3 linked regions of the Alligator mississippiensis genome follow. The protein of the gene in region 2 interacts with the protein of the main gene of each other region in a pairwise test. Links are inferred from orthologs where the notes say so. Each region holds a gene or a part of one and is shown on either strand. Other genes may lie near its edges. The genes, in order: LARP6, ITSN2 and SYNJ2.

Evidence for each region.
Region 1: the proteins of ITSN2 (region 2) and LARP6 interact in a two-hybrid assay, tested with the Homo sapiens proteins (2 studies listed by BioGRID, with this or other methods). The link is inferred for Alligator mississippiensis from reciprocal best matches to the Homo sapiens genes ITSN2 and LARP6.
Region 3: the proteins of ITSN2 (region 2) and SYNJ2 interact in a two-hybrid assay, tested with the Homo sapiens proteins (2 studies listed by BioGRID and IntAct). The link is inferred for Alligator mississippiensis from reciprocal best matches to the Homo sapiens genes ITSN2 and SYNJ2.

What each region holds. Positions count from the first base shown.
Region 1 is NC_081834.1:36,752,640-36,760,211, forward strand, and holds the start of LARP6 (la-related protein 6), read right to left. Parts: upstream 3,088-7,572; 5' UTR 2,917-3,087; coding exon 2,645-2,916; intron 1-2,644. UniProt on the Homo sapiens protein: Regulates the coordinated translation of type I collagen alpha-1 and alpha-2 mRNAs, CO1A1 and CO1A2. Stabilizes mRNAs through high-affinity binding of a stem-loop structure in their 5' UTR.
Region 2 is NC_081824.1:15,603,128-15,610,474, reverse strand, and holds the start of ITSN2 (intersectin-2), read right to left. Parts: upstream 3,076-7,347; 5' UTR 3,009-3,075; exon of another isoform or gene 2,987-3,008; intron 2,943-2,986; exon of another isoform or gene 2,824-2,942; intron 667-2,823; exon of another isoform or gene 1-666. Other genes in the region: intron Large complex component GCFC2, read left to right, coding at 3,325-3,601.
Region 3 is NC_081824.1:136,179,729-136,186,931, forward strand, and holds the start of SYNJ2 (synaptojanin-2), read left to right. Parts: upstream 1-4,138; 5' UTR 4,139-4,186; coding exon 4,187-4,307; intron 4,308-7,203. UniProt on the Homo sapiens protein: Inositol 5-phosphatase which may be involved in distinct membrane trafficking and signal transduction pathways. May mediate the inhibitory effect of Rac1 on endocytosis.

The sequences.
Region 1 (7,572 bases), on a different chromosome or scaffold from region 2:
CCTGGTCAGTGCTCGCCTTCCCCCCCCCCAACCGCCGACAGCACTGGCGGCATCTGCAGGAACTCTCTGCTTACTGCCGCCATGCTCCTGCCACTGCTGTGCCCCCCCCAGCTGACAGGGGCACGCGTTGTTCATGGGCACTGATATAAAGAAAATTGGCTGCATTGGAAATTGGCCTAAAGCGGCTGATAAACGCCCATGCATGTGCACAGCTGCAGCACAGCACACAGGCAGAGAGCAACTGAAGAGCTGTGTGCAACTGGTAAGTCTGTTGTGGTGGAAGGGGAGGGAAGGGGCATGGCGGGGCAGATCAATGCTCCCCGTGGTGAGGAAGGGAGGGAATAGGGCAGGGCAGACACTGCCCAACCTTGCAGTGGCGTAACGAGGGTCTCGGGTACTGAGGGGCCAATGCTTACATGCCCCCCGCCTGGTCACCCCCTGCAGATTCCAGCGGCAGGGTCGAGAGCAGGGGGGGCGCCCCGAGCAGTGATTGGCGACTGCCCGCAGACACCGCCAGCAGCATCCAATCTCAGCGAATTGGAGGCGGGGGGGCAAAATCGGAACTGCTTCCCACGCCACTGCCACTGCTTCCGGTTTTGTGGCCTGTCGGTACCCCCTGCAGCCCTGTGCCCAGGGGCCATGCCTCCCCCCTAGTTCCCCTGTCAGTACACCACTGCAGCCGGGATGGGATGGGGCACAGGAGAGCCATGGCTTGTCTAGTGGACGCAGGGGGAGGGCGCATGTGCCCCCAGATCTGCGTGGGGTGGGGCTCTTCTCTGCAGAGGCTGGGCTCAAGGTAAGCAGAAGTGGTGCTGGGAAGTGGGGCACTGGGGGGGGCTACAGTGAAATTTGGGGTGGCTGCAGCCCCTCCATAGCCTCCCCCCTAGTGCTGTCACTGCTCGCCCCAAGCCCAGGCCCCGCTGAGAAGAGCCTGGTGCATTCCTGGCTCCAGCCCGCGTTGCAGCCTGCCTGCCCCACTCAGCGCAGACCCAGGGGCACCCCCCCATGCCCTCCTGGGGTGGCACAGCTGTGGGAGCCCCTGTGTCCCCTGGATGAGCCGTGGCTCCATCCGATGCCTGCCCCACCCTGCCCCACCCTACCCCGGTTGGGCAGTGCTTGCCATAGACCCTGTCCCACTCCCTCCCTCACTGCGGGGGGCATTGATCTGCTCCCCTTCCCTCCCCACTCCCCTTCCACCACATCAGACTTAGCAGCTGCACACTGTATCAGAAATCGGATTCGTATTGGCCAATATACCTCTTAAAAAAAAAATCAGCTATTGGTATCAGCTCCCAAAATCTCTATTGATGCATCCCTAACAAACACCAATCTGACTTCAGATCTAGAGACACCCAACCTAGTGGCAGAAAGCTTCAGCCTCCCTGGAGATTCCCTCTGACCTCCTTTGCTGTCTGGGAGCAGCTACACACTTTACAAATGAACTTGAATGGGAAACTGTGGAACAGCATCCACAAACTGGAAAAGGACAAACTTTCAAAGTAGTCATGAGGGGACAAACTTTTCCTGGTTCACAGGCAGCCCCTCTAAGTGTTAAGTATGGTCTGAAACAGGGATTAGAGATTCTTATCCCATGCCCTTTGTCTGGATGGGTTTACTGTTTGTTTGCCTTTCTCTTCCCAGTCCCTTGCATTCAAATCACTCTCCTCTCCAGTCTATACACCGCTTTGTGTACACTCCTTTCATACACTCCTTTCATAGCATCTGTTGAAGTGAGCTCAGGCACACAAAAAGCTTATGCTCTACACTTCTTAATTTAGTTAGACTCCAAGGTGCAAATCGACCCCCACTGGCTTCGACTCCCACACCTTTAAAAGCACAGTAATGGATCAATAAGCTCTACAAGGTTCCTCCACTACGTGTAACAATGGGCACAGAATAAACGCCTCCTGAAAGCAGTCAGGTTGTTACAGCAGCAGGTTTACATTATCTGCCACAATCCCCAGAATAGGACAAGGCTGGTGAACGTTTCTATTGCAGGAACACGCCCGTGCCTCAGGGTGCGCGACCCAGCATGGCCTTGGCTTTGTGTCAGACAGCGCAGCAAGCTGCAGCCAGCCCCGAGCCGTTGGCCTCCAGCCCAGAAGGCTTGGAGAGGGGGCCGTGTCCGGCACCGGTTCTGGGCAGGAAGGCCCCGGCCCATGGCCACACTTTGGCTCTGAAGTCGAGCCATTGGATTGAACTGCATTGAGGCCTCGGATTCATGGATCCACTGGGCTGTGTAAGGCCCAGTGGGTACTAATGAACGCTGTTGCCGCTGCAAACAGCGCCCCAAAGCAGCTGGCCCCAGGCCTGGAGATAGGCAGGCAGCGCTGTCCGTGCGGGCAGGTGGGCCGGGACCTCAGGGTCGGCGACGAGGGCACGAGGCTCCAGGCTGCCCGGCCCGGCCCGGCCCAGCCCCTCGGGGCAGAGCAGCGCCCAGCCGAGCGCCCCGCGGCGGCGGATGCCGAGGGGAAGCAGGGAGGGAGGCGCCGGCTCCCCCGCGGCCGACGTCGCCTGGCCCCGGCGCCGCGCTCCTCCCCGGCGGGGCCGCCCCCGCGCTGCCAGGTCAGCAGGCGAGCCAGGGGCGGCCGGCCCAGCTCCCTGCCGCGGGCAAGGAGCCGGCGCATCCCCGCCCGGCCCCTACCTCGACTTCCCGTGTCTGCCCGAGTCGTCCTCGCTGCAGCTGCCGCCGCCCAGGGAGCCCGGCGTCGGGGCCAGGGCCAGGGCCAGGGCCGCGCCGTCGCCCTCCTCCTCCTGCTCCTCCTCCTCCTCTGCCGCCTCGATGGCCACCCGGATCCGCACCGGGCCGGCCCCCGCCTGCTCCGCGCCCGCCCCGACGGCCTCCTGCCGCCCCGGCGCGGGGCTGCCGGCCTCGGGCTCCTCCGCCACGGCGCCGCCCGGGCGCGGCGCGGCCATGGGGCCGGGCGGCGGGGACCGCGCTGCCACCAGCCGCCGGAGCCCGGCGAGCGGCGTCCCCGGCCCCGCTGCACCCGCCGCCGCGGCGCCCGCTCCCCGCCCGCCTGCAGCTCCCCGCCCCCAGCCTGCGCGCTCCGCGGGGGGCAGCGCGAGCGGGAGGGGGCAGCGCCGCCAGGCGCCAGCACAGCCCGCCCGCCTCTATCCTGCGGGCCGGGACCAGGGGCAAGGGGTGGGGTCGGGTCCCCCCGCCCCAGCCACGGAGAGGCGCTCACGCCCGGTTTCAGGCAGGGCTATTTCAACGTTATTAGTCTTCACATATTTCGTGTTCCAGGTCAAATCCGATTCACAGCTGTACTGGAGTTTAGGGCTGGAAGGGACCTCGTGAGATCATCGGGTCCAGCCCCTGCTCCGGGCAGGGAAGACTGCAGGGGTGAAATAACCCCAGCAAAGGGTTCCTCGGCCAAAGCACAAGACCGACAAGAACTCAATCTTCCCCAAACCACGTTGATTGAGCAGGGCCAGGCCGGCGGTCAGGAGGTGCATGTGCACCCCCTACACATCACCACGGGGCTAACCGCCACGTCTGGCTACAACCAGTGAGCATCTGATGTCCCAGGTTCTCACCCTGGGATTTCAGATATTCCCAGATCCATTGGCACGCATCCTACTGCAAGCCCAGAGGTCTTGGGATTCGGGTGCCCCCCATTGATCTTAGTCAGAAGGCTGAGAAGAGGGGACGCGGCTGCTGGGGTGGATCTCGCTCCAGGCTGACCAGGGGGGGAGTTTGTCCTATAGCTTCCCAAGCCTCCTGGCCAGTCCCAGCGGTGACTGGTGTTGGGGGCAGGCCAAGGACAACCCATCATTCAAGTTGTTCAGTAAATACCAGGCATTGGAGGCAGTTTGGGAGGGACCTGGAGGAGGGCAGGCACAGAGGTGGTCCTTTACTCAGTTACCCGCAAAAACCAGCAAACAGGCTAACCAGGTTGTTTTTGAAGTAGTTGTTAGGGTTCAGAATCAGCACCCCAGTGAGATGCCTGGAATCCAGGGACACCTCACTGTGCTCTCTTATTTCAGGACTACATCCGAGCAAATTAAGAACATTAACTTGGCAACACTAAATGGTAGGATTTTCCTTTTCTTTAAAAGTGAATTTCTGTTCATTCTTCATTTTAGAAAACAAAGACTTATCAGAAAGACACTTGATGGGTTTGCATTCTCATAGAGCCCTATGTAAATGTAAAATTTTAATTCAACAGCTGAGGCTAAGAAACATGAATAGACAAAGACTTGAATGCACACATTTATAATTTAATGATGATACAACATAGAACTATGTGGTACTTTACAGACACACACAAGAAACATATAGCCCCTGAAGAGCCCTCCTGCATGTGATAACTTTCAGTCATCAGATTTCACGGCATTGTTTCCATGCATAAAAGCGAAACATGCATAACATTTAGAGGATCAGGACAACATTTACTATGTGAGTCCTTATTCCTTAATTTGGGAAGAGCCTTGAGAGAGGCCTCTTTCATTACTGTTCACATGTGGATCACAAGGTAGGAGATGAATTTGTAATTATTACTTCAGTCCATATTTTGGGTTAGTCCTTATGTTGTAGTGGCCTCCTCAGCGCCTTCAACTTTATGGGGAAAATTGTCTTCACTTAAGTGCATCTGCTCAGTATTTTCAATGGAAAGTTTTCATTTTTCAATATTATTGAACAATTTCAATAATATTCAATATTAAAAATCTGAATTAGCAGACATGTCCATTGGACTTCATTTTTTATTTTTGGAGACAAGGTTCTTTGGGTGAATCTGATATCTTTTATTAGACCAACTTAAGTAGTTGGAAAAGAAAAATTTAAGCAAGCTTTCGGGTTCAAAAACCCTTCGTCAGGCTAAGGAAGTTTCAGCAGTTGGTGTGTGCTCTTGCTGGATGGAATGAAAAGTAAAGAAGCCAGAGGTCGGGCTGGTATGCATACAAGACAGGTGGTCAGTGAAAATGTGGATTGAGGAGTCAATGGGTGAGAGACAGGCGGGGGGGCTGGATTTAGTTTTTAGCACTTCAAAAGTTTTCTGCAGGCAGGTCTGTCACCATCAAAACAGAACACAAATACAGCTCTGCTATGATGGGTTGATTTTTTGTATTTTTGTATTTTTTTAGCTTATCTGGTGCTTAGAGAGGTTCTTTACAGAGATGACTTACTTGCCCTGCTATGCAACTAACTAGAGGTCTTTGTCAGCTAGCAGAATGCCACAGGCAGTCCTCGGACTTAGAACACAATTGTTTCCTGAAAACCACGTCTTAAGTTGAAAAGTTGTAAGTTGGAACCAATTTTCTCATAAGAAACAATGTTATAAATGGGGGATTGGTTCCTGAACCAATGCCCGATAACCTATTTTCACCAAAAATACCCCAGAACTTTGCACTTGATAAATTATAGATGAGAAATATGGCTACATTAATGTATTTATATTGTAAATAGCAATCATTGATTTGGAAGGACTTCTTTGCTGGACTTTTTGAAGGGCTCTTGGTTGGACTTTTTGAAGGGCTCTTGGCTGGAGTCTTGTCAGTCTTGGCTGCAGCTTTCTCTGGAGTCTTGTCTGCTTTGTTAAAGAAAGTGTCCAAAGAAATTTGACAGATGTTCTCCAGTTGTAAGTCGGACCACCTGTAATCTGTTGGTGCTCATTGCATAGTATAACGTTAGGCCTTATCTCCATTTGGCTACATTTCTCTAAATGTGCCTGCTGTTGCTACTACCAGTTCTGCTCCAGAAATATTGTAATATTGGAAGATTTAGTGTAGGTGTGAGCCAAAGCCATTTTAAATACTGCATTGATGCCAGTGCCAGTAGGAACTGCGCTGCTACCAGTAGAAGTTAACCAGTGTTTGCCAAGGTGGGAGAATCTCCAGGTAAGGGTAATATAGACAAGTCCTTAGAGGACAGCATCTGTCCAGCATAAGTCTCTGGCCCCCACCCAAGGTCAAACTGTAAGAATCTCATTTGGGTAAACTTTCCCACTATAGTTTATTGTCTGAGTTATCTATGATATATACATTTTTGTGCTCCCCAAAAAACAGACTTCAGTTCATGATTTCCCTATTTGATTCTGGGTCTATTACGGCTAAAAGCCACCCCTTCTGATACAAGGCTATAACTGGGCATTGTGATACTGCGTTGGGGAGGTAGCATGGTGGAATTCATCCTAGTCTTTAGGCAGGCCCCTCTACAAGTGGTTTCCCAGGCACTGGCCTAATCTTTCATATGTTGGTTTAAGTAGGATCCCATAGGTGGGATATTTGGGCTATGAGATCCAATAGCTCCTCCTTCCAAACTGTCTCCAATCTGTGTGCCTAGGTGCTTCTGTGGCTTCCTAACCAAAATACAACTGTCTCCCAAACATTTATGGATTAATGCTTGTGTTACTGTTGTAAGATATGATAGAAGGAAAGCTGAGACACAGACAGATTAAGTGACTTTTCTAAAGTCACATGTAATGTTGCTGGCAATTAGAAACTGAGCTTTGATCTTCTGAATGCTGCCTTATTCAGAAAACCTTTACCTTTGCCTTTGTACAATCCTAACCAGAGCCACCGAGGTGATTCCATGACCACACTCACCCCAAAGACCCGAAGACACCTTATTAAATGGCCCTTTTCTGTGATGATTTTTACATGGACCTGCTATGCAATTTTAGTGGTACTGAGGGCTTTGCATAGTTTCATAGTTGGTAGGGTTGGAAGGGACCTGAGCAGATCATCAAATCTGCATCATGCACTCCTCTATTGTATCTGAGTTTGGTACAATAGAGTGCCTTTGTGTGGGTTGAATGTCAAAGTAGTTTATAACTCTCTTCGAAATACTGTAGCTTGGACTGAAAAAAAAAAAAGCCAAAAAACACCTCCACTCCCAGAAAAGAATATCATGCTAAAATATTAAACTTTATAATAGGTTCAATATTATCCTTTTTTTTGGAACAAAGTGGTTATTTCACATTCAAGGGCTAGCAGGTTTTTAGCTTAGGAGGAAAAACAGATAAAGTCAAGTACTTTGTTGATGCAATTCTGTTTATTTTCAAAGAATAAAGAAGTTCTGTTTCCTTGAATCAAATAGAAGATGGAAATTACTTTGTGCAGAGATCTAAGACGTTTTCCACTCAGCGCTTAGTCCAAAAGCTCTCTCATCAGTTTTCTCAGAGATCTGTAACGAGTAGTTGTTTTGGCTATCCCTTTGGTTTTCTGCTGCTTTTCTCTGTCTCAGTCCTGTAGTTCAATGGAAGCCAACCTTTTTGGCAGGCATGCTACCAGTTAGCCATGCACCCTCCTTGGGCGCATCCAGATGAGAACAGATGTGTGGTATATGGCAGTGCAGACCCATCTGCAGCACCACACACCACACATACAAGCATTCCCTGTGCAGCAACTTTGCAGCGTGGTGGGGTTTTTTGACTCTGGGAGATTCTGTGCTTGCTGGGACCCTTCAAGTTGCCCCCCGCCTGCCTGGCAACGGAGCACTTTACTGGGATGAAGCCGGATTTGTGGCCAGGCTCCTGGAACTCTCGCCTGGCCTCGCCGGCCGGATCGGGCCCCATCCGGAGCTCCGAGTTGACGTGGCACTGCGGAGGCCTGCCTGGGCTTCTGCCA
Region 2 (7,347 bases):
GTGGGAAACATGAGGGCCAGAAAGCCAGCAACAGGTAGAGAAGGTGGATCTGCATGCTGTCTCACCCTCCCCAGCTCTCAGAATCCACACATTTGCAACTGTGCATGCCCCCCCAGGGTTTGCCCCAGACCTGTACACCACTATCCTGCACTTAAAAAAAAAAAAATCTAAATAACTGTTTCTATCTTGGCCTAACACACAAATGAGTGACACTTATTATTAGTTGTGGCATGTATCCTTATAATTCAATTTTACAAGCCAGTCAAGTAATAGCACCTATCCCACAGAGTTTATAATCACAGAAAGAAAATACAATAAGGTTTCTAGACTGCATTTCAAGGCAAAGAGGTGACTAATGAGCAGGTAGGAAGGACGATGGGAAGGGGGAGAGACCAGCTGAATAACAAGGAGATTGTTCCAGACATAGATACAGGATGACTGTAGATACAGAAACCAAGATTGAGAAGAGACTAATTAAGATGAAAGACTTGGGGAGAGTGGAGGGAGCAGGAAGGGAGGAGTATTAAATACTGTTTACAATGATCACAGATTCTTTTTCTATTCTTACTACATTATCTCCAGCTGAGCTAATGCTTCTCTGTAGAGAGAACAACAAAATATGCCTAGATATTATGAAAATAAAGGCTCTAGAAATACTTAAAACAACCAGATCTTTCATATTTTTCAAGTCTTCAGTGCCTTCCCTTTGAAATTTAGTTGGCTCGCTGCCTGCAGTCAGTCAGCAAATCCCAGTTATAGGCAGCACAATGTTCTGAAAGGTGATAGGTGTAAATCCCTACTGTCAGCTGAACAGATCATAGATAAAATTGTCCATTCTTTGAAGGAGCAGAAGGAACAAAATTATCTAATGCCTCTGGTGTACTTCATAGTTTGGCTCACTTCCTCTGCAGTATTGGTGCTTGTCCAGACATGCTAGAAACCAGTGATTTGCTCTTCCGGTCCAAAACCCATACCTTTTCCGTGACCAGATAGTATCTTGGATTAATGATAGCCAAATCCCTTCAGTCATGTTCTTAAACTAGGGGCACCAACCTTATAGCGGGCTGGATGTGTGGCACGGTCAGCATGCCGGCCAGGTCCCATGCAGGGTTGGCATGTGGGATCCAGCACACCAGCTTGATCCCCACATGCCTGGATCCAATTGCGCACTGGTGTGATCTAGCATGATCTGGTGCACAGGGCCATGTTATCTGGCACACGGAGCGCCACATGGGTCTGAAAATTTAGCAGCAGGGGGTGAACAATTAATGATACCACCACTTCCCCACTTAGGGAGCCCTTCTGGCTGGATTACATAGATCTGTGGGCTGGATCTGGCTCACAGGCCAGGAGTTGAGCACCCCTGGCTTAAACAATTTAATAGTGAGGAATAAACAAAGATATTGATAAGCAGAAATTGATTCCAGCTGTATGGAAAGACTTCCTCACCATGACCCACAGCTTGTATGCAGGTCATAAATTGCTGTCTAGTGGATAAGAGAGGTTGCCTTACTATTGAATTTAAGTAGCCAGAAAGAAACAACTGCAGAAACGTTTGCCTGGGATCTCCTGAGCCCATATTTACAAGAAAAGCAGCAGGACACTCTTTGCTGTGATTCCCTTGTGTTACCAGTAGCATGCTAGGGTGTTAGGTCTATGCGGTGTCAGGGCTGATGGTAGTCTTACACAGAGTTATTGTATAGTGTGGCTCGGATAGGGATCATCCTGCTTCAGCCAGCCCTAGTTTTCTGTGACTCTATGAAGACTTAATTACCCAATTACTCAAGGGTGCCCACTTCTCACAAGACAACCGCTCTCTCTCCCATCTCTCGGTTCTAATCCTTAAAGGCAAGTCTACAAACTTCACTTCATCAATCTACTGGATACAAAAAAAAAAAAAATCATGCACTTAATACAGACATTGGATTTACCACACATTATAACCTGCCTGCCATCCGATAACCCCAGGTAACCTGTCTGCATTTTACCAGCTCCGTTCTATCACCAGATCAACATCCTCCTTCCCCACAACTTACCAGTCTCACACCTATTGTCCCCCATTCCCTCTGATCCTCACTGCCACGCATTTGCATTTTCACAAACCTGAATTTTGCAAATTGGCTTCTATTCTACCCAGGACAGCACACATCATACCACCAGACTCCCTAGGCTGAAGAAGGGTGTTTGTGCCTGAAAACAATTTTCCCAACTATTTAGTTGGTTTAGTAAAAGGTATCACACATCTACCCAAAGAACCTTGCCTGCCTATGAAGACTTGAATTTTAGTCAGTTTTGGATTTTAAACTTCATTTAACAATGAGAAAGATTTCTAAACTCCCTGCTTGCCATCTGACACCTCCAGGGAAGGAATCGTACCTGATCTACACAACCAAGAGCAACTCAGAACAACTCACAAAGACACGCTCATAGATCCAGAGGGACAGATTTCCATCTTCCGCACCCTCTGTCTGTGCAAAAGTGAAGTTTATTTCCTACCTATTGGGAATTTTCACTATCTTTAATTTTCCCAGAGGCCGACAAAGGGCATTTGACGTTTATTTTTGGGGCTGTCCTTGCTCGCAGAAAAAGATTAATTTTGCCCCACCCGAAAGCTCGCAGAAAAAAGATGAATTGTGTCTGCGATTTTCTCGTTGGTCTAATAACAGGTCTCATCTCTGAACTAAGAGCTCTAGATTTTTGCATTTCTTTCCGTCTCGGGCTACCAAATGCATCCTACGAAGACCTGAAGCGCATACAAGTGCCAGCGTCCCAGCAAGGAGGAAGGGCGCAGACACCTCCCACCACTGCTGTGGTGCAACTAACCCCGGGTTTTACTCCGCAGCAAATCCTCTGAAGCCGGAGGCGGGCAGGCAGGCAGGCGGCTCTCCCCGGGGCTCCAGCCCCCCAGCTCTGAGCCAGAGACAACAACGACGAGGAGAAGACACGTGCTACCGTACTTAGTTTGCACGGGTCCCGCTTGCTTTACCAGAGAAGGCAGCGACCCGCACCTGCTCCCCCGTGGTCCTCCAGGAAAGACCGCCCGCGCCGAGCGCGCTCCTCCACCAGCGCCGCCCCGCAGCGACAGCACTCAAAACTCCCCAGCTCCGCACCCCACTTCGTCCCAGCCAGGGGAGGGTTAAAGACACTTCATCCTCATTGGCCAGCACCCTCTTCTGCCCCGCCCACTTCCCTTGTGACACCCACGGGGCGGAGCCAGCAACAGGTGATTGGTCGACACCATTTCCTCAGCTAGCCGGGCTGCGGCGCGCATGCGCATTGGGCGTCGGCGTTCTACCGGGGCCTGCGTGACCGGTACCGGACAGAATGTTCCGCCGGCGTCCGCGTCACTTCCGGGGTCGCCGCCGGGTGCAGTCCGCCAGCAGCGAGGAGGAGCCGGGTCCCGGCGTCGAGGGGGGGGAGGAGCGGCAGCGGCAGGGCCCTGTCAGCCCCGACCCCGGTCCCGGTCCCCCGCGGCTCCCGGAAGCGCCGACGGTGAGCGCGAGGGGCCAAGAGGCGGCGGAGGACGGAGGCGAAGGCGGGGCCCGGCAGGCGCGGGGGGGCAGGGACCTGCTCAGCTTCGGGAGCGACGAGGAGCGAGAAGGTAGAGCCCCCCCTCCCCCACTCGCCCCGCAGGCGTCCGGGCTTGGCCCCTCTGCACCTTACCCGCATGGCGTAAGTTGCTGGTGGAGCGCACAGTTCACATGGACTGGCCCCACGGGCCAAGTCGGGTGATAACCACGTCTGTCCTGCTCCCCCAAGAGCCGGGTGGCAACAGAATTAGTGCTTGGAAATGTGTAGCGGCTCCGGAGGTGGTTTCCAGCCAGCTTTCGGTTGAATGTGCATCTCAACCCCAGGGGCCGGGCAGAGGGAGCGGGCGAGGAGGCCTGTGGGTCCGACATAAGGTTTGGCCTCATGCTTGCTCGTCCCATGCCAAGTGTCTGCTGCGTACCAATGACTGCCTGACTCCACGCGACGGAAAGTATCGCGGGAAATGCCCCCTTAGACATCCGTGGTGCATCCGCACCTTGAAAAATGTGCCCAGGTCTGGTCCCTGCACCTCACAAAGGGTATAGGAAAGCTAGAGACGGCGCAGAGAAAGGTGGCGAGGACGATCGGTGGTGTGGAGGGCTTGTGTGAGGAGGGAGGAAGAGGCCAAGCTTGACTGAGTTTAGAAAAGAGGGGTTTGAAGGGCAACATTAAGAGTTTACAAAATGCGAAACAACGCAGAGAAAGTCGCTAGGGGTTTGTTATTGACTGTCTCACAATACAAGAAGTAAGGGTCACAGAATGACGCCAGGTGGTGAGATTAAAAGTAATGAAAGGCAGTTCTTTCTCTCTCAGCCTGTAACTTCAGGGTGGAACTCATGGGCGCCTTTTTGAGCTGTCCTGGCTGCCGATGGCGTTTCTTCATGGCTTCGTTATTCACAAAATCGTGAAACAGTTCCTCGGCATTGTTTCAGAAAGCTTTCTTTAAGTCCTCTCTGTCTGTAAGCACTCGCCCTTCCTAGCTATAGCTACAGCTGCAATGTAACTTGGCTGTGTGGAAAGAGCACGTTTAGTTACAAACTTAGAAAAGCTGGGGGTCTGTTTTTTTCAAGCGAATCAGTAGCTTGTCTGATGCACTCAAATTTGTCTGCTTCATTGACTCCAGAAAATTTGGCTTAGTGCTTGGTTGTGAAATGGCACTGGATGCTGAAAGTACAAGATACCACTCTTTTACTACACAGGCCACAAACAACATGATCCCCTTTCTGCACAAAACCATACAATTCTCTCCACGCTGGCTGAAACGTTCAAGTATCCAACTTGGGTTTTTGCTATCCATGACTAAGTACATATAGGCCTCTTAACCAGTTTAAGTAGTGCAAGGGTTCTCAAACTTTCTTTTGCTGGACCTCATTTGAAAATATTTTAGGCTGTGGCAAATAGAGATGTGAACACTTAACCATTCACATACTGATAATTGGTAATGCTGTACGAGTTATCCTTTAGCTTGGGGCGAGGAGCAGTCTGGTGAGGGAATGGGAGAAAGAGAAGTGGCATCATGCCCCGGAAGGTGGCAAGACAGGTAGAAGGGAGTGGGGACTTAGTATGGCAGGGAAGCTATGCAGCTGTTGGCAGCCTGCCTGCTGCCTGTGCTGCCCCAGGCCGCTTCTCTACCATGTGCTCTGAGGCATGTGTGCAGCTGCCACCACTGCCACAGAGCCAGTGCTGGAACTCTGGAGCTTGGTGCAGTTGTTTGCAACCTCCTAGCTGCCTGCTGCAGCTGCCTAGAGCCTGGGTCACCTGTGGCTGGCACCTGGGAGGCTGCAAACAAGCTGTACTGGTCTTGAGTATGGATGGGCTCAGTGGCAGCTGTGCCTCAGCAACCCCAGCTCTTTCCCATCCATGCATTCTGCAGCCCCTTCCTGACCCTACACCCAGAGACACGTGTGCAGCTGTGGCTGCTAAGGAGCCCGGTGCAGCTGTTTGCAGCCTCCCAGCTACCTGCCATAGGCAGCCTAGGCTCTAGGCAATTGCTGCCTGCCACGGAGCATGGGCTGCATGCAACACAGCTTGCAGCTTCTCAGCCGCCTGCTGTGAACAGCCCAGGCTCCGTGGCCAGAAGCATCTGCCCAGAGCCCAGGCCATCTGTGGTATGCTGAGCAATATGGCCTTGCGTGCCATGCTCTGGCATATGTGCTGGAGGTTGCTGATTCCTGTGTTAGTCTATGATTAATCTTAACTGTGATATAATTTGTTTTCTATGTTTTCCTCTCTCTTCCTTATTGTGGTTAAGTCCAGACATATTCTGTCTGAGTTAGTACTTAATGTTGCCTATAGTTAACCGTTAGTCTTGTTTCAAATCCTAAAAGGGTTATTTGAAGATTACTGCGTTTGTAGAGGCAGCAGCAAAAAGCAGTTTTTTTTTCCAAAAGACTTTAGGCCTTGACATAGCGTTTAACAGTCTGGGGTTACTTACCAAATGAAGGGCATAGACTACACCACATTGCCTGGCTACTGGCACTGTACAGGAGCCTCTCCAAGGCCTGAAGGCAGAAGTTGTGGACCTGGATGCAGAGGCAGACCAGGCCCTGTCTGCTGTCCCACAAGGGGAGGCTCAGGACATCTGCAGAGACCCAGTGCTGTTCCAGCCAGAAGAATCCCAGCATCCATCTCTGGAGACTGGCCTGGTGGGACAGGCGTTTCCTCCTCCTCTGCCCCTGTGGGGGCAAAGGTCCAGCAGAGCACTGCCTGAACCACCCAGTGCACTACGTCCCCCAACACCAGGAGAGGGGGAGATACAGCCCCTTGTGGTGGGGAAGGGGGTAGCACAAGGGGTAGCAGGACAGCTGGCGGTGGGTCTGTGCAGCATCTCCCTCAGGGTTTTTGGTGGGGACCCTGCTTCTCTCCTGTCTGTACTGGGGTTGCAGGATGTGCTGGAGGTTGTAAGATATGCTGGAGTCTGTGGCAAGGGTGGCTTTGATTGGGGCTGGGGGAGACAGTTCAGGCACCTGGGTGGTGATGGTGGGCTGTAGGTCCACACACAGTGGTGGTAAGAATAGCAGGAGCCTACAGCAGCTCAGCAGGGCTCCTTCTGATTCCTGGCCCAGCAGCAGCCAGGGGAAAGTGGTGGCACCCCTCTTTGGACACGGGGCACTGGGCAAAATGGTCCCATTCTCTGACTCAGGAAATAGCAGTTCTTATGTTCTATGTTCTCATATCTGCTGTGCTTGTGACTTAGGATGTGATTTGGAATTGCAGTATTCACAAGTGTGACAGGGAGCGAGGCCAGCCTCATAGTTGGCCCACCCACCCGACTTTTCTGCCACGGCTTTGTTGGAATTAAATAGTTGTTTTTAGGCAGGAGGCTGCCCCTTTTGTGTCCTGATGCCAAGGGCGTAATACATGACTCTGAACCATTCCTACACCATGTCTCATGCCTCACAGATGGCATCTAAAATGACTTCCAACTCCCCTGGCCCCTTTGCTGGGCTGCACTTGGCCTCCAGCCCACAATTGGCCTCAGGTGTCCTCAGATGTACCTTGGCCTTTTCTGCCCCCCTCACTGGGGCCACTACTCTGGCTGACCTATGCGCAGTCCTTCAGGCCCCCATGGGCCCTACTCCACGTGGCCTCCAGCTTTCACTCCACCCCCTCACTGGGGCCACAATTCTGCCCTCTCACTGGGGCTTCTGGGCTTTATACCTGTTAGGCCTCAAGTGTCTGTTGACATGCCTGGATCCCTAATCTGTTCCCTCTATGGGGTTACCCACCAGGTGGTGGGGGCTGAGGCTATATGGTACCTTGCACTGGAGAGGCACAGGTGTAGCATTTCCTGGAGACCACAGGCAGCCCCACCACACC
Region 3 (7,203 bases), about 120 Mb from region 2:
GAGTCGGACTTGATGATCTACTCAGGTCCCTTCTGACCCTACCAACTATGAAACTATAAGGGGCCTCAATCTGCACCCCCCCCCCTTTCTGCCTGGATATGCCTTTTCCTCATAAACTTACCTACAGGGAGCTGCTCTCCAGGCTGCCTGGCTATGTTCCTGGCTATGTGCATGTGTGCAGGCACATGCATGCACGTGGCACCCCTGCGTCCTGCTCCTGGCAACCCCAATCAGCCCCTTGTAGGCTGAAACCCTGCCAGCCTGCAAAATGAAACCCGCCATTTCCTGCAGATCCCTGTATGACACTGAAAATCCAGGATAAATGCTGTCCCAAAGTCGTGCAGCCTGGGACCAGGACTTGAGGTTCCCATTCCAGGACTAATTGCTGCCCAATTAGAGACAGATGGTCATCCTACTGCTACTTGTTCCTCCATCAAATCTGGATGAGGCCCATAAGAAGCCCCATGGTCTGGATCCAGCCAGCGAGGAGGCATGAATTTGACACTCCTGCTCTGAAATATCTACTACTTGCCACTTGCCAATACTGGGAAATAGGATATTTAATCTGATGGACCACTGGTCTGATCTGGGATGGTACTTCTATGCTCATGGCAGCCACCATGAAGCACAGAGTACCTTTCATGGACAAACTTTTTTCCATTATCGAAAAAACACATGAGGTTCTAATATTAAAAAGAACATAGCCCTTAAGTGAGAGAATGTGTTAAAGGAGGACTTCTCAGACAGGCAGTTTGTTCTATGTCACCAACCCAGAAAAGTCACAAGGACATCATTTTTTAAAGTTTGCAGAAAGTGTTTAATTTTATTACAGTATGCTAAATGTTTCTAATCTCCCACTTTCCCTCACCTCTGACAAGCCATTTATATCTTGTTCCCTGCACCTAAGTTGCTGTGCTTAAAAGAAAGTTTATCATAGGCAGCCCTGTTCCCTGCTAGGTGAATATTTTGTTTGACAATTCAAGCACTGAGCTCTCTATTAATTATCCTGACTCTTGTATTTATGTCTTTAGTGTCTTTTGCTGCAAATTACAAGTACAAATGAATTATATGCACAGAAAGTACAGAATCATTGAGATGGCTTTGTCCTCCAAGTGACAGTAAGCTCTGATGATGCATTAGAAAAACTTATCATGAGCACAAGGTGCTACAGCAATCATTCTTCAAAAGGCAACAGATGCTCAAAAGAGGGATTTGGATATTTTTATATGTAAGTGAATGACACACCACCAGATTCGCAGGGGAGAATGTTACCATAAACCAACCCTTCTCAAGTCATCTCTCCAGTACTGGCTGCATTAGACAACCCTGGGCTTACTAGTGTAGGACTCCTGCCACTTAATCTCAGCTAGGTATTTTCTTCTAGGGAAAGAGGAACCCCTGCAGTTTTCACCCCCCTGTGGTGTAACACATAGCCGTGACATGCGTTTTGCTTTCAAGAATTTGGGGTGCAGTTCCCCCATAGCCCTGCACCGATCTTCTTGAAACTTGGCAGGCTTCATGCTCTCATCAGAGGCTATCACCCCTGCAAGTTTCATCCAAATAAAACAAAAAACAACAAAGTTATAGATATTTCCTTGATTCCCCGTTATACCTTACAGCCGGATCTCCGAAGCGGCTCCAAAGCTTTTCCAAAGCAGTTCGGAAGCTCTGAACCACGTCAGAAAGCCTAACGAAGCCAGCGCTTTGATCCGAACATGCTGCTTTGGACACCAAAGCGTCTGAAGCTTCTCTGGATCTGAAGCACGGTCCAAAGCCTCACACAGCCCTAATCCCTGTCCTGCCTCCATGTCTATAGGAAACTCATTGTAACCGGTATGTCCTTGTTCTGATTAGGATGTGAAATGTTTACATTATTCTCTGTGGGGGGGTTTATATCCATTGAAAAACAAATGTTGAGCTTACTCTTATGCCTTCTTCTCCTGTTATCATTTGAATACTTTTCTAGGTGATTTCTTCTAGGTTCTCTCTCCCTGACTTTCCACACTGTCCCATATTGATCTGAATCAAAGTGCCAAATATATGCACTGACACACTTTCCTGCCACAAACCCCTTTATCATTTCTTCTGTTTTAAAAGCATCATAAACTTGAAAAAAAAATCACATTTTTCTGCCCTTTGAAAAGCTTTTGCTACTAGGAATATTATAGATTCTGGAAACAGATTCACAGAGAGCATACAAATCTGTTTTCCTGAGAGTTGTTTACTTTGAGCTTTCTGAAGCAGGAACTGTGCTATATGTATGTCTGTACACTGCCTAGCCTGATATAACCTTGGACGATGTCCCTTGGCAGTGTGCAAGACAAACAACATCACAACAACAATAATAGGAAATATTCAGGGTATTTTGTGTTTTTCTCTGTCCACTTAGCAAATTAGGGTTCATCCCCAGTACAGCCACAACTGTGATTGTGTAGCTAGCTAAAGTCATGTTCACTCTAACTAATTAGAAGTATTTGCATCTGAGATGCAGCTTTTCTGCCATCAGAGCTGTATTCGCTCATCCACATCTACCTTGCTATTGTGCCCCAAGGAAAACCTCCCCACACAAGAAATTCCTGCCCAGAAGAGCATTCCATCTTTTACTCTTCTGTGAAATATGAAACACTATAACCAGAAGGAAATATGGCTACATCCTGCTTGATCCCAAACAACTTTGAAGTAAACAGACTCTTCCAACTTTTCTCTGAGCCTAACCTACATAAAATGAACTGTGCCAAACAGGAGATTTTATCACACCTTTAACTCTCCTATGAAATATGAACTTTAATTTCTAACTAGGAGAACTTTTACAATCTTTTCTCCTATGCCTGAAGAAGGGTGCTTGTGCCTGAAAGCTTGCAATTAAAGGCATGGGTTTTTTTGCAAAAATCTAGTTGGTCTAATAAAAGATATCACCTCTACAATGAGTTCTCATTCCTTTTATCTCTAGACCACTACAGCTACAGCCTAGAAACCTGACCCAAGAAAAATCTAGCATTTGCCTCAGTAGCGACTTGGGGAAAGCTGGTTCCTGGCTATTGATAAAGGTGAGAGGTGTATTAATTATAAAATAACTTATATGTACACAGCTCCTTTCAGCTGAAAGCATTTCTCAAAGTGAGGGCCAGCTCCAGTTGGCAAAACTCTCAGTGAAGTCAGCAGGAACTTTGATTAAGCAAGGAACAGCTGTACCTCATCAGTGAACTATAGCCACCCTGAGGAGGAGTGTGGGAGCTTTTTAAGGGGGCTACATGACTATTCAAGATTGGAAGTGAGACAGAACATTGATGAAGGGAGAGGAAGATTTGTGAGGGGAGGTCACATCTTTTTGCAGTCTCTCCTACCTCTCCTAGCAACTGGTCCATAAAAGGCTATGACCTCACCTTACCTATCTCCATTCTCTAACTGGATTGCCACGTGCACCCCCTACACATCGCCAATGCTTCATTGCATAGGCCTGAACACCCCTCTCTCCTTTCTAACAGCCTTGATGTTCCACTAATCGATCTATTTTTTCTTCTGCCACCCTGCTGTCCCTCAGCTGCTGCCTCACTGCCCTGCAGACTCTGCTTAACTCATTAAAAACAGTAACACAGGGATGGAAATAATTTGGGAAATGATTGGAAATGAGCTGCCTCACTTCCCAGAGCCTGATGAAAGGCCTTTGAGCCTGAAGACTTGCAGAAAAGGATATTTTTTTGCCATTGCCCAGTTGGTCTAATGAAAGGTCCCATTTCAGAACCGGGAGTTCTCGATTTGTGCATTTCATACATCCTGAGCACTGTTACTCCGGGTTCGAATCACACTTTGCCTCTTGCCGGGGGTCTGCAAAGAAAATTAGGTAGCCCATTAGATAGATGCCCATATAAAATCAGAGACCCCCCCACCCCTCCAGGTAATTTTCTTTTAAACCTTACAGGGGGGCTTTGGTTTCTTGTGGGAGGCTCAACCCTTTCTTTTACTGTTAGGGATCCTACATCCTAGAAGGGGTGAAGGGAAAGTCGGAAAGTGACCATGGCCGTCCACCTGGCAGCCTGGAGCTCCCCTCAGGCGCGGGGCGGGGCGGGGCGGGGCGAGGCGAGGGGCGGCTCTGCCCCGCGGGAGGCGGAGCTGCGGGACAAAGTCAATTCAGGGAAGTTTGCGGGCGGGGAGCGGCTGGCGGGGCCGGGCCGGGCCGGGCCGGAGCATGGCTCTGAGCAAGGGGCTGCGGCTGCTGTGGAAGCGGGAGCCGGTGCCCAGCGCCCTGCTGGAGGCGCGGAGCCGCCCCGACTGCCTGCTGCTGGAGGCCGGCACGCTGGCCGCGCTGGGTGAGGCGCCGGGCGCGGGCCCCCTGAGGCGAGGGCGGGAGGACGGGGAAAGGGAGAGCGGGTGCAGCCCGCCGCCAGTGGGGCTGGGAGCGGAAAGCGGAGCAGCAGAGCAGGCAGGGAGAATGGGTGGGGAGCAGAGGAGCAGACCGGCCAGGGAGTACAGGGGCGGGGGCGGAGCAGTAGGTAGGGTAGGAAGAAGAAAGCGGAGCAGCAGGGCAAGCAAGGAGAATAGTGGTGGGAGCAGAGCAGCAAACGGTGGGGAGCGGAAAGCAGAGGAGCAGATGGGTCAGGGAGAACAGGGGTGGGAGCAAAGCAGCAGATGGGGAGGGGAGTAGACAGCAGAGCAGGAGACCAGGCGGGGAGAACAGGGATGAGAGCAGAGCAGCAAATAGGGAGGGGAGCAGAAAGTAGCGGAGTGGGCTGGCCAGGGAGAACAGGCCCGAGAGCAGAAAGCAAAGGTGCAGACTGGCCAGGGATCGCTGGGGTTGGGGCAAAGCAGCAGATAGGGCAGGGAGTAGAGAGCAGAGCAGCAGACCAAGCAGGAAGAAGAGGGGTGGGAGTAGAGCAGCAGGTAGGGCAGGGAGCAGAAGGCAGAACAGCAGATCAGGAGGGAGCACAGAGGTGGGAGTAAAAAGCCGAACAGCAGATCATGCAGGGAGCACAGGCATAGAAGCAGAGAGCAAAGCAACAGATTGGACAGGGAGTACAGGGCTGGGGAACAGAAAGAGCAGGGCAGGGAGCTGGAAGCAAAGCAGGAGGTCGGGTAGAGAGCAGAGTAGCAGGTCAGGCAGGGAAGTGGATCAGAGCGGAGCTCAAGGAGGATGCAGGGCCTGTTTGTGGCACACCTGCCAGAAAAGGCTGCCCAAAGCAGTGGTTGCCCTGGGGCTTGGTAGAAAATCCCTCATGGTAGGACGGCACTGCTGCACCTGTGCTTGACTTCTTCATTTCTGTGGCTTTCTCTCCTCCATTGTGGCTGCAGCCTCAGCCAGGAGTGGGAGAGCTGTTGTGAGGCCTACCTGCAGATGGACCATCTTGCCTTCTGTGCAGGGCTACCGCTGCTGGGAGACTTCAAGGGGAAGAAAAAAATAAAAAATATTTTCCAAAATAAAGGGCCTGAGTCCTGGTGTACACTGGGGAGGTAGGCTTTATGAAGCTGTATGTGGAGATGCTCCAGTACCAGCTGAAAGCAGAGTTTACTTAGCCTGGTGGGATTTGTTTTGGTACAGTACATTGACAAACAGCGGTGTATCTCTAGTTGCATCATACGTTGTTGCAACAGTGTGAGTCTGCTTCATGTGGACAGGCCCTCAGTCTCATCTAGAGGTAGAGCAGCAATGAACACATCTGTACTTAAGTTCTATGTATGTTAAATGTCAAAGCTTACATTAAAGCCTACATTAAGGGTGAAAACTGGTCACAAAAAAATCATTGAACACTTGGAGAGTTAAGTTGCGTTACTAACTTTAACATAGCCTTGATGCACAAATGTTGGATTTTGTTTACTATCTTGGTTATTACACTGTTACTAGTAGTTAGACTTATAAGTGTGTAAGAGTTGTTTAGTCTGTCCATGCCAGGAATATAGGCATATTTGGAGTCCACTGTCTTCAGTGTGATTCTGCCTGGGCATTGCAGGCAGTCTGCAGATTCAGAGCAGCTCAGAGGAAGGGGACCTTAAATTTTAAAATCTTTAGAGTAAGAACTGTGTGTATTTTGTGCTTTCTGCAGCCTCAGTGGCATTTTCAGCATTTGAAAAATAATAGCCTGATTTTACTGTTGTATTAATTCTTCAGTCTAAGAGGATTGGTAATGCTGATTACCCATGAATAACTGATTATCAGCAGTTATCCACTTATGCTTTTCATGACAGGTATTTTTCATGTCATATGGACAGCCAGTAAAGGATGATCTTCAATATTTATAATGAAGAATATATGTATGTGTATGTATTATATGTATATGTATATATGTGCATACTGTATACATTATATATTATATATGTAATATACACTCAGATTGTTATTTATATCCTGAATCCAAATTGTTGGCACTCTGGCTTGTTACTAGACAATTCTGTGTTTGTACAAAAAATGCTTAATGTATAAAATCTTACTACAAAAATTCAGTGCGCTTGCTATATATGAATTATGTGATTATGAACAAAAATAATAAAAGATTTTTGCTTTGCACACTTATACCTGCTCATTGCCAAAATAGAAGAGAATAGTGCAAAATTGGAAAGTTGATCCTCTCTGTCTCTTGAGATGAGGAAAACTGAAGTGTCAGATGCTTTTATGAGCATCAGCTGGTTTGAGAGGTCATGTGACAAGCACCTTTTCAGCTAATTATCAGGAACAAATTCCATTATGATTTAGTTGCATGTACATTTGGAAATCCCTGTGTTTAAATGATGAATTAGCGAAAGTGTTTTGTGCCAAATCGAAGGGGCTATAGCAGCGCTTCTTACTAATAGGACTGTAGTGATAGATTTCACTGTACATATAAGCAACCACACAGTGTCTGGAGTGTGACTAAGTTTATGTTGCAGCCATTAAGAGTTTTAACATTATATGTAACAAACAGAGCTGATTGAGAAAAGAAAAATAATCTTTTGAAAATTTTGACTTTTTAGTTGTATAATGTTTCAGAAGAAAATGAAAAATATTTAGATTTTGAAATACTGCTGAAGTCCCTTCTGAGAGTTGTAGTTTGACTTAAAATTATGCTCCCATTCTGCTTAGTAATGGTGAAGGGAATTCCCAGTTAGATTGTATCTCCCAAAATGTGCCAGGGTCTCCAGTGTTTTGGTAAAGATGTGATGTATCTTGAGATGTGTCTTGGGAGATAAATTAAAATTGAAGTTAGGCTTACTAAGGAAAATAGGACATAAGGAGGA